2 linked regions of the Oryza sativa Japonica Group genome follow. The main gene of each other region encodes a partner of the protein of the gene in region 2 in a complex. Links are inferred from orthologs where the notes say so. Each region holds a gene or a part of one and is shown on either strand. Other genes may lie near its edges.

What was found.
Region 1: THO complex subunit 6 (region 2) and THO complex subunit 3 share a complex: the UniProt entries of both Arabidopsis thaliana proteins name them as parts of the THO complex. The link is inferred for Oryza sativa Japonica Group from reciprocal best matches to the Arabidopsis thaliana genes DWA1 and TEX1.

The regions. Positions count from the first base shown.
Region 1 is NC_089043.1:11,600,486-11,606,144, reverse strand, and holds the start of THO complex subunit 3, read right to left. Parts: upstream 3,732-5,659; 5' UTR 3,555-3,731; coding exon 3,444-3,554; intron 2,791-3,443; coding exon 2,695-2,790; intron 2,175-2,694; coding exon 2,045-2,174; intron 1,680-2,044; coding exon 1,591-1,679; intron 1,053-1,590; coding exon 984-1,052; intron 588-983; coding exon 530-587; intron 443-529; coding exon 331-442; intron 1-330. UniProt on the Arabidopsis thaliana protein: Acts as a component of the THO subcomplex of the TREX complex which is thought to couple mRNA transcription, processing and nuclear export. Contributes to the integrity of the endogenous trans-acting small interfering RNA (ta-siRNA) pathway.
Region 2 is NC_089043.1:16,265,764-16,271,110, reverse strand, and holds THO complex subunit 6, read left to right. Parts: upstream 1-1,684; 5' UTR 1,685-1,739; coding exon 1,740-1,976; intron 1,977-2,066; coding exon 2,067-2,182; intron 2,183-2,277; coding exon 2,278-2,354; intron 2,355-2,600; coding exon 2,601-2,646; intron 2,647-2,769; coding exon 2,770-2,830; intron 2,831-2,998; coding exon 2,999-3,052; intron 3,053-3,221; coding exon 3,222-3,306; intron 3,307-3,408; coding exon of another isoform or gene 3,409-3,412; coding exon 3,413-3,448; intron 3,449-3,755; coding exon 3,756-3,862; intron 3,863-3,947; coding exon 3,948-4,058; intron 4,059-4,738; coding exon 4,739-4,855; intron 4,856-4,965; coding exon 4,966-5,061; 3' UTR 5,062-5,309; downstream 5,310-5,347. Other genes in the region: uncharacterized protein, read left to right, coding at 180-385. UniProt on the Arabidopsis thaliana protein: Acts as a component of the THO subcomplex of the TREX complex which is thought to couple mRNA transcription, processing and nuclear export.

The sequences.
Region 1 (5,659 bases), about 4.7 Mb from region 2:
TTTTTACATATACCAGTATCACTATCAACTGTCAAAAGACCGAGATAGAATACAACATTAGTAATACCCAAAATATAGTATGTCAAATAACTTCACTCATGCCTATGCTTTATATTACCTTGAAATAAAAAAAATCGTTAACTACATAAAACAACTAGCATCAGTATAAGGCATTAAGAGAATTAGAGTTCAAAGCGAAGTCAAACAGCATATAGAGAACCTAATGATTATAGCATAAAGTTCAAAAGATAATGTAGTTACAATGAAATGTCATTGGCTGAGATGTGAGTTGATGTTGAACAAATGAGCGAAGACAGAAAAAATCATCACCTATCAAGGGGATCCATTCCAATGCAATAACAACCCGCTGTATGAGCATTCAATTTGCCAACCACATGAAGGGTGTCATCAAGGGAAGGATCACCAAATACCTCAACATTTCCTACATAAACAGCAAACAATGTAATTACACTGATACCAACTGGTGTGATATTGAAACTTAAAACAACATATGGGTTTTGTATCTTACCAAGTCCAGTAGTGATGAAGAATAAATCTCCAGTTTTGTTCCATGCAATCTCATTTATCTGAGGAACAACAAATCAATAATTTACTTCAGAAAAGTTAACTGATCTGAGGAGCTATATGATTCATTTTTATCAGTAGCAGGTGTACGGGCATTTAGCTAGTTGAAATAGAAAATTTACAAAACTGCAACATAAGTAATGCAGCAAATGAAATTAAAGTACATCGAATAGTTAGGTAATTCACACTCAGTAGTCAGTACTAATTCAAATACCAGCAGGCAATTTTCCTGTTCCAGACAAAGATGCACATGCTGCCGACTTATGCCCACTCTACTTTTTCTCAAAAGGTATATGACTATATGTGCATGTTCATTCAGAGCAGCGAAAGATTCCAAAAGGAAGAAGAAAATTGCTAGAAGAATGTTTCAACAATTCAAACCTTCAAGTGGAAAGTACCTCATAATTAAACTTAAATTTGTGAAGGGCTTTTAGCTTCCGAACATCCACTATTGTCAACTCATCCTCCTGCAAATCATAGTGACAGCTGTTACTACACTTGTACAATTTTATAAAACTAGAACTCACAAAGTAAACACATTGGTGTACGCGGGACCTTGCGAACTAACTTGTAAACTTTATAAAAATAGGTTTACTACAATTATTATAAAATTTACACACCACTCCCCAGTCCCCATGCTCAATAACACTTTACTAACTTTGCATAGCAAAAAAAGTAAATAATTCCATCTAATTTAGGATCAATATGTATATATTCAAGTGTGTCCATACTGAGCTATGTTGTATTGATACTTATACAGAGAGCATGTCAAACACAAGAATGAACATTGCAATTTAGATGCTAATTTGCCAAATAACTCATCACTCAATCTAATATAAATCAGATTATAGTTACACATTTCTCTTTGGAAAGAATTTTATAAATTCCTTTCAAAATATTGTAACCCTCTTCTGGCATGATATATGCAAATCAAAACCAGTTCCTTAGTCATAAATGACTACCGTTCTTGAAGTTAACAGGGATAACAGCCTAGGCAATACATACCTTGTTTCCAACAGCTATTTGAGTACCACCATGTTTATAAGTGATATTGATGTTTTCTCCACTAAGTTCGACGACTTGACATTTTCCACCTGGAAAAGAACACGTCAAACAGTTTGAGAAATAGCGGGTCAAATAAATAATATAATTTTAAAAGGCAAACTGCAGGCCCAAATCTTGTAGAGTTATAAATAGAGAATCAAAAGTATGATGTACAATCCTATGAAAAAAATCGAAGTACAACTAAAAAAATTCTGAAACTAACTTTCAGGTAGAGTCACTACACAAAAGAATAAGACATCTTGTCTGGTAACAACAAGTTCATTGTAAATGGAACATAGGGATTGAACAAAGTGACAAAAAGGGATTCATCAATTTCAGAGAGAAGCTGAGAATGCTGAACACAACTGTGGATATCTTAGTTCTTTAACCTTCAAAGATGAAGGGAACCACTTACTCCGTGCATCCCAGAGGCGAATTGACTTGTCAGCAGCTGCTGTAGCAACTGTATCAGGATGCTTCGGATCCCAGCAGAGCTGATCTACACAATCTGTGTGGCCTTTCAATTCAATGTCTTTAACCTTGGACTGTGCAATATAAAAACCCTAATCAGCACAGTACTGACTTGGTACTTCCAGGGAAATAGAAACCATCTGGGGTTTTTTCCCCTCCTACGTTCCAACCAAAAATGTCTTAGTGTTCTCAAAACAATATAATTTAGCTTAGAATTTATTTTCCTCAAAACCGCAGGAGGGCTGCGCTTCCTTTCATTAAGAAGAAGAAATAAGTACAACTGAGGGATCCAAAAGAACCCCTAGCTAAGAAATCATTCACAATTTCACATTAAATAGCTCAAACATATGTCTCAGAGACACAGGCTATGGTATGCTTAAGTGTGATTACTGTCTGAGTTTCTATAATTTTAAATTATACAGCGGGAGATATTTCCAATTAATCATCATGCTTATCTTTCAAATTTATAGAAATGTTCATAAAAAAAGGGTGACAGTTATTCATAGTGAATGACAATAAATGCGTTTATCTAATAATTCCATAATAACAATGAAGGTTATTTTGTTTGCAATCAGGAAAGGAGAGAATGTTTACATGGCCATGGGGATCGATACTCCATACACGTGCAGTATGATCAATAGAGCCTGAAGCAAGCTTCATGCCTAGGCAGTTCCATGCTACAGAGTGCACCTAACAGTAAAACAAAAGATCAGAATTATACAAAATTTAAGGCTGATTATGTATGTAAGATAGATAAAAAAGAAGGCAAAAAGCGACAGAACCAGTTAAATGCTGCACCTCCATGTGTGGAAGGATTATTTAGAAAAACAAGAAACAGAATTCAAGAAAGAAACAGAGAAATATCGTTGTACTATGATTCTTTCTGCAAGTAAGATTTTTTTTTCCCTTTGAATTCTTCCCCTCAGAGGAGTAGCAACTTTACAAAGTCAGACAAGAAGTCCCTTTTCGTGAAACCAAATTCCTTCAAAAATTAGGAGTAATTATGACCAGGAATCATATTTGACAATGCGCTCATTCACCAGCTCCCAGAAGGAAAGCAACCAACCAAAGCTTCATTCAATCTCAACATGGCTTAGCCCTAGAGCAAAAGAATCAGCATATATACGGCATGAACGCGAGGAATCAATCACTATATCCTGCTCTAGAATTAGAAACAAAACCGTACGTGTGAACCAAAGATGGATGCATTTTCGTCCTAATTTTTGCTTGTAACATCCGGATTTTAGGGCTTCCCCCTCGCAGGACTTTTGAGGGTTTAGGACCTCATGAGAAAAAAACTTATCCCCGCGTAGGATTGGTGAGGGGGGAATCGAAAAGGTTACCTTCTTCTTGTGGCCGAAATACTCCCTCGACACCAGGTTCTTCAGGTTCATCCCCGGCGTCGAGCTTCCGCCACCGCCGCCCCGCCGTCTGTCGTCTTCTTTCCCCTCCATTGTCCCCGCGGACTGGGGCACGGGTCTGGTTTTGCTATTCCCCACTCACCGCGTCACGAGGCGCAAGGCGGCGGCGGCGGTGGCGGTGGCGGCGGCGGCGGGCGCGAGACGGAGGAGGGAGAGCCGGGGACGGCGTCGGCGGGGAAGAGGAGAGGGTTTTCGCAGAAACGTCCTTCTACTTTTTTGTTTATTCATGCCACAAGTTCATGCGTTATCCTTACCATGGAGCCATGGACACATCCTTTGGTTTTTGTTTAATTGAATCCATGCCATTGTAAATATACCGATAAATGTTATTACAATTCGTCTTTTTTAATTGTGACATTGAAATTTTATAAAATTAGAACCATGCCACTATAGTAATATTTTCCATCCATCTTCGTCTTCTTAGATTCATCTTTCCCCTCTTTTTTTTTCTCATCTCTCTCCACCACCTCTTTGGAGGGGACAGCCGCTGCGGCTGTTGGCAACTTTTTGTGACAAGTCGACAATTACGATCGCAGCACCTAAACGCCTTGCGGTGATATGGAGTCGCCAACCACCTCGATCTAGCCAAACGGCCAAATCAAGATGGGTTTTGTAGAAAAACAGCTAAACCGGCTAGCGGAGCCGATTTAGAGATCAAAAATCAGCCTCTAAGCCGATTTAGATCGATATGAGGATAACTAACCTGTCTCATAGGCAATACGGAAGGTTTTCAGGACAAATCTACAAAGAGGTGTCGCACTCTCGCAGCGGCGGCGGACGGTTTACGGCGCAAACCGACAAAGATGGATTAAAACTAGGGTAAAATAGAAAACATGGTAAAAGAACGATTCAAGTAAATTGTATTCGGGGGTTTTACAATGAACCGGCCTTGTCCCTTAAATAGGGGTTGGTCTTACCCTCTACAGGCCCTTCTCCATATCCAACTCGGGATAGAAACCAAAGGAAACACGAAACCTACCTTCCCAGGCAAGGAAACCCGAGACCCGACGAAAACAAACTCGGACTCGGACCCTGACGGTTTGACCGCCCACATACCTGCGGTCAGACCGGCCCTACTAGACGGTCAGACCGCCCACACACCTGTGGTCTAACCGGCCCTGTGAAGGAAACCCGTCACTTTCCAAACTTTGGCAATTTTCCTCTATTTCGTCCATAGGTGCCAAATTTGGGTGTAAACACATGCCCCCCTGCCTTTTTTGTAAACATACGTGAACCTAAAAGCATAGAACATGTTATGTCAGGGTGATAATCCAATTACCGCCCATAGGACTTCCTAAGCATCTTGCCAAATGCTCGGGAAATATTTCTTCAAGTATTTCCCATTAATTGCTCTCTGAAAACACCGTCTTGAAGTGTCTTCATCTCCTTCAAAGTCTTTAAACGCTTGTCGATGACGTCTTTAAAATTGTTTCCCATCAAGGTCTTGTAATCTTCAACCGACAAGTCGTCTTGCTTGAAATACCGAAGAGAGCCAAGATTTACCCCAACTGGCAAAACGACAATTTCAACAATGTTTTATTACTCAACTCGGCTTATCCATTAGCCTGAGCGTAGTAAAGAGAAGAACTCATCAACTTAATAGCATAAGATTCGGCAAAACTTCTCACTCCGTACAAGTAATATTCTCGAGCGGCACGGCTTCGGCCCACTTAGTGAAGTAATCCATTGCAACTAGCACGAACCAACGCCCTTTTGATGACGAAGGATAAATTTGACCAATGAAATCCAAAGCTCAACCTCAGAACGGCCATACTTTAATGATAGGATTCAACACAGCGGTAGGCGCTAATTGAACATTGCCGATCCGTTAACAAGCTTCACTCCCTCTATAACATTTGAAACAATCATCAATTATTTTCGGCCAATGAAACCACACTCTCCTAAGCAACCAATTTATCTTACGGGCCGATTGATGAATTTCACAAATCCCTTCATGTACTACTCTCCTAGCAACTTTAAACTGATCATTATCTAAGTAATACTCCATCTATTTTTCGGCGATATAATATTTGAGCGCTTGCCGCCGAATCTTCTGATCAACCTTAAGTGTAGGATCTTCAAATATCTAATCGAAGGAATTCTCCAAGCTATTTCTAACTCATGGGCACAAATGTCCG
Region 2 (5,347 bases):
ATACAAATACTTTGCTTGAATTCCTTCGAAGAATTTGCAGCACACAAAAAAAAATCAACAATGACTTGTCAGCTCTTTGTGTGTGATATTCATGCATGATGGTCAGATTCTTTTATGCATTGATTAACCTTATCTTCCTGTCTAATGATTATGATACACACCATTACAAAATTGTGTAGACCTGCATAAGGACTCAAAGGATGAAAGCAAGGTGTCAATGAACAAAATAGAGACCCACAAGAATGAAACTCATGGTACAAGCGATGATATAAATGAGAATACACCAGTTGAGAGAGTTAAAGGTCCAAATGTGTTTGAGCGTGCCAAGGAAGAGATTGAAGCTATTGTTGAAGCCTTCCACCCAAAGAAGGGATCTGACAAGTGAAGATTGAGATGTTCTGTTGCCTCTGTCTGCACTTGATGTGAAAACATTGACATGAGTTATTAATAGATCCATGGATGAGTTGTGAGATATCCATCGGCTGGTCTTATTATTGCCAAACTATGGAGTTGTAACTGTTGAATGGTTCATTGTACCACTGATATATATATGAGCAGAGTGTGTATCATGTGTGACATGAAAGTATTACTGTTCTTCAGTGTTTGATTTTAGTGTATGTTGAACTTAGTCCTTTGCATGATATGGTATTTTACTTGCTACCATACATGCAAAAATCTTTTGAGGTGCATAAATAAAGAGAGAGTCAATTGCTGTACAATTTTATAACCTTATGCTAAGCCTGTGGTTTGGGTTCAACATGCTTCACAAAATAACAGCATTTCCTTAGTGAAACAAGACAGAAACGCGAGATATGAACGATATGATACCTCAAACCCCATGTTCTTTGAAAAATAAAATTTTGAGTTAAATGTTGGTGTTGCTACACCTAGTAGTATAGAGTCTTGAAAAAAATTCCTCTCTTTTGATTTGTGTGGTTTCAAACGCTTCATCTAATTGATCATTCCTGTTATTTTCCTATCCATAAGATTTGAGGGAACTATTTCGAAGGATCCTTTCTCAAGACTCTAAACGGTGTGATTTTCTTAAAACTTTTTGTATAAATTTCTTAGAATACTGTTCTAATATTTTTTTTTAACTTTATACTCCATCCGTATTTTAATGTATGACGCCGTTGAATTTTTGACAAACGTTTGACCTATCGTCTTATTCAAAAAATTTATGTAATTATCATTTATTTTATTGTGACTTGATTTATCATCAAATGTTCTTTAAGCATGATATAAGTATTTTTATATTCGTATAAAAAATTTGAATAAGATGAATGGTCAAACGTTGGTTAAAAAGTCAACGGCGTCATACATTAAAATACGGAGGGAGTAACATTTATTTAATTTGTTTGTTCCCTCGAATAATTATCGCAACATTACGCGAAGCAACAACTCAAATAGATATTTCATATTATTTTATCAATGAATAAGATCTCGTCGTTGGCTTCTCATCACAAAAAAAATAAATATAAATTTATTAGAATATTGTTTTAACCTATTTTTTAAAACTTTATAACAGTTATTTTATTTGTCTGTACCCTCAAATAATTATTACAATACTGTACAAAAACAAATCAAATAGGGATTTCATATTATATTTTTTAATAATGAATAGATCTGGCCGTTGGTTTCTGATCTAAAGGCCCAGCCCAACCAGCCGCTGTCTCTTCCCCCCACTCCTCGACTCGCTCTCGCTTCCGAAGCAGCGGCGGCGGCGGCGGCGAGGCGAGATGGCGGCGGCGGCGTTGGCGGGGATGGACGCGCGGGGGTGGGACGAGGCGGCGTACAGGCGGGGCATCCTGCGGGAGCGGGACCTCTCCTGCCGCACCCTCTTCCGCGCCGTCTTCTTCGACCACCACGACGACGACCCCGACGTCCTCCTCGCCGCCGCCTCCAGCGACGGCTCCCTCGCCTCCTTCTCCCTCTCCTCCTGCATCTCCTCCTCCTCCTCCCATCCCACCCCACAGGTTCGTTCGTTCCCCACACCCGCTCCATGTGCCGCGTCCTCGTGCGCAGCTAAGGTGTTCGATCTTTTGTTTTGATTTGATTGGATTCAGACCCACCCGGATGCCGCGGTCTCTCTGGTTGATCCCGTCTGCATCGTCCAAGCGCACAGTGGCCCGGCCTACGACGTCAGGTTCTACCCGGATTCGCAGCAGCCGCTGCTCTTCAGGTGAATTGCTGTGCTGCTGCTCGTCTTCTCGGTGGCCGTTTTTGTTCAGGTGACATGGCATGACATTTGGCGACGTGATCCGTTGGTTGTGGCAGCGGCGGGGATGACGGGCGCCTTCGGGGATGGAGATGGCACGAGATGCAGAGCTGCCTTGTGCCGCTATCTCTGCAAGGTGCTGCAAAAGAACCCTCACTTCTTACTAGGATTGACTTGGTTAATTAGTTTGGTGTGTGCTTTACCTAGAAGTTCTACCTGTACTTGCTTGCGCACACCCCACAAAGAAAAGGCTAAATTTTTAACAAAGATGTAAAACATTTTGCAAGTCCCATTTCCTTTTCTAGTGCTCTAGTGCATGTTTTTTTTGTGGGGCTAATGCATGTTGTTTAATAGGTTACTTTGTCATTGCTTTTCTTTCCAGGGGATCATTTGGAGCCAGTACTTGATTTGGTGAACCCTCAGCATGAGTAAGTATTCTGTGAAAAAGGACATACATCTGATAATCATTTGACATATCGTTTATTCTAGAGAAATATGCACTTGCACTCTCATCCTCCATCTTTTCAGAGCTTTTGTTTTCGATTTTGTAGGGGTCCTTGGGGTGCTCGCTCTCCAATACCTGAAAACAACGCCATTGCGATTAACAAACAGGTCAACACCAGAAAGTCTGCATTTTCACTTCATCCAAAGAAGCAAAATAATCTCTTGTGTGCATTTTTGTTCATCGTGTATATTATATAGAAATGATGCATATTGTTACTTGCTTAAAAAAAGATATCTTATTCAGTTATTCTTTCTCATCATTCTTCTTCGCAACAGGAAGGATCTGTTTATGCAGCGGCCGGGGATGCATGTGCTTATTGCTGGGATGTGGTATGTATTTTCTTGAGGTAAATGCAATATATAGAAGTCCTGAGCTACATGGAAGGAACTACAGATTTCTTATGATTCATGTGGCACAGGCTTCCATAATTTTCTATTTTCTGTGTGCCTGCTTGAGAAAATATCTGATAGTAGGTTTTACAATGTCTTGTTCTTTCAGGAGAGTGGTAAATGTAAAATGACCTTCAAGGGACATACTGACTATTTGCACAGCATTGCAGTCCGCGAAGCGAACCGCCAGGTTGGTTTGTTATTATTGTACTGATGTAGTCCAATACCATTTTCCCATAGATGTCTTGCCTTCATTTTGTAGTAACTTTTAGTTAATAGAGCCTTTCCTTTTTCAGGTAGTTACAGGATCAGAGGATGGCACAGCCCGTATCTGGGGTGAGCAGTGCTTTTGATAGGATAATTTTGTCTTGTACTTGAAGTGTGCCTTCTCATGTTCATCCTGTTCTAACTGGTCATTTTGTATATCTGCTCGTTGATTCAAGCAAAGAAAAAGCACCAACTAGCTATTTGTCTTTTTGTACTCTTTAATTCACATCTGGTGATCTGGTCACAGGTCACATCATATTCACAAAATTTATCCTCTCTCTTATGAGTTTACCTTCAGACAGGTTTAGAAAGATTTGGCACTACATGGAAATCCATAAAAAGGCATTCTCTTATTTCTGCTCTTTGTGCACTGCAGATTGCAGAAGTGGAAAGTGCACTCAGGTTATACGTCCGGTGAAAAACAAGATTTTTGAGGGGTCATGGGTCAGTTGTGTTGCCATTGATGCAAGTGAAAGCTGGCTGGTAGGATGCACTTCAAGCTGATATAACAATGTGTTATGCATCATGTATTTTACAGTTATTATTATCTTGGTCCTATTTTTCCCAGGCTTGTGGTACTTCTAGTGGTATATCAGTTTGGAGCCTTCTTTCAAATGAGTGCATCTTTAATGTGGATTGCCATGCTCCTGTTCAAGATTTGCTGTTTGACAGAAACCAAGTAAGTCTATCTATTCGTCATGTTCAAGCTAGAGTTTAGCAAACCAGTAAAATTGCCCATGGTTAGAAATGGCTCATCTTGTATTTCAAAGATGGGCTGGCAAAAAATTTAGGACGGATCATTCCATTCTTTAGTCTTTGTGAGTTTAACAAATGCTATACCTGTAGTAAATTAGTGTTCCCCTAGTCAATTATTTCCATTAACAAGTCATATGATAGTTCCACAAGTGCATGATTTATCTATTTAACCAATGCCCTTTCTAAATTTTTTTATGCATAATTGTTTGCCAAATGAAAGTTTGCATAATTGTGTGGATATGAAATTATTATCAGATAATCTCTCAGATATGCACAGAAAATGCAATAAATTATTTCCTGATGATTTATGACATGGTTGCCAAAATTTGAAGCTTTGTGATGTTATTGTTGGAGAGAAACAGAATAAAATCAAAAGCTTTTGCTTCCAAACAAATATAAGAGTGACTCTTCAGCCAACTAGTTATTATTCCTGCAAGGAAAGCTTTTTATTATTGTCTGCTCACATCTATTAGAGATTTACCAAAGCAATGTTGAGTCTGGCGATAGACAATAGAGCAGCACGAAGGATGCATTGTTTCCCAACTCTTGTGGTTTAGGAATTATCAACTGTTTGTTTTCTTATACTCCATTTTCACCATTCAGATCTTAGCAGTCGGTGCTGAACCTCTGCTCTCTCGTTTCTCTATCAATGGGACTCTTCTTTCACAAATCAAGTGTGCTCCTCACTCAGCATTTTCTGTCTCCATACATTCTTCAGGGGTATGTCTGTCTGTCTCTTGATTCTCATTTTGAAATGACTTGGGTATCTGTTTCACCCTACTTCTGGAGTCTGGCCGATTTGTCCTGAGTTTACTACCTTTGTTGTGCAGATGGCAGCTGTTGCTGGATATGGAGGCCTTGTGGATGTAATATCACAATTTGGGAGTCATTTGTGCACTTTTGGCTGCCGGAGCCTGGATAAGTAAGATCTATTGGAACAATTAGCTAAGCACTCTTAATAGTGTAAAGAACTGGAAAAACACTGCCAAGATCTAATTAAGTACTACTACTAGTAATCATACACTTGGGAGCTGTTCAGCTGTAACACTAGTTCATCTCTGTGCTAACTTATGTAATTCACAGTTGTGCCGTTGCTGCTCCGATAGAGATGACTCTAGATCCCTTAAGTTTATTGCTGTTACAATTTCCCTAATGAATTCCCTTGTACGGATTACCTGCTGGTTGCTGCAACACTGCTCTCTTTGCTGACTT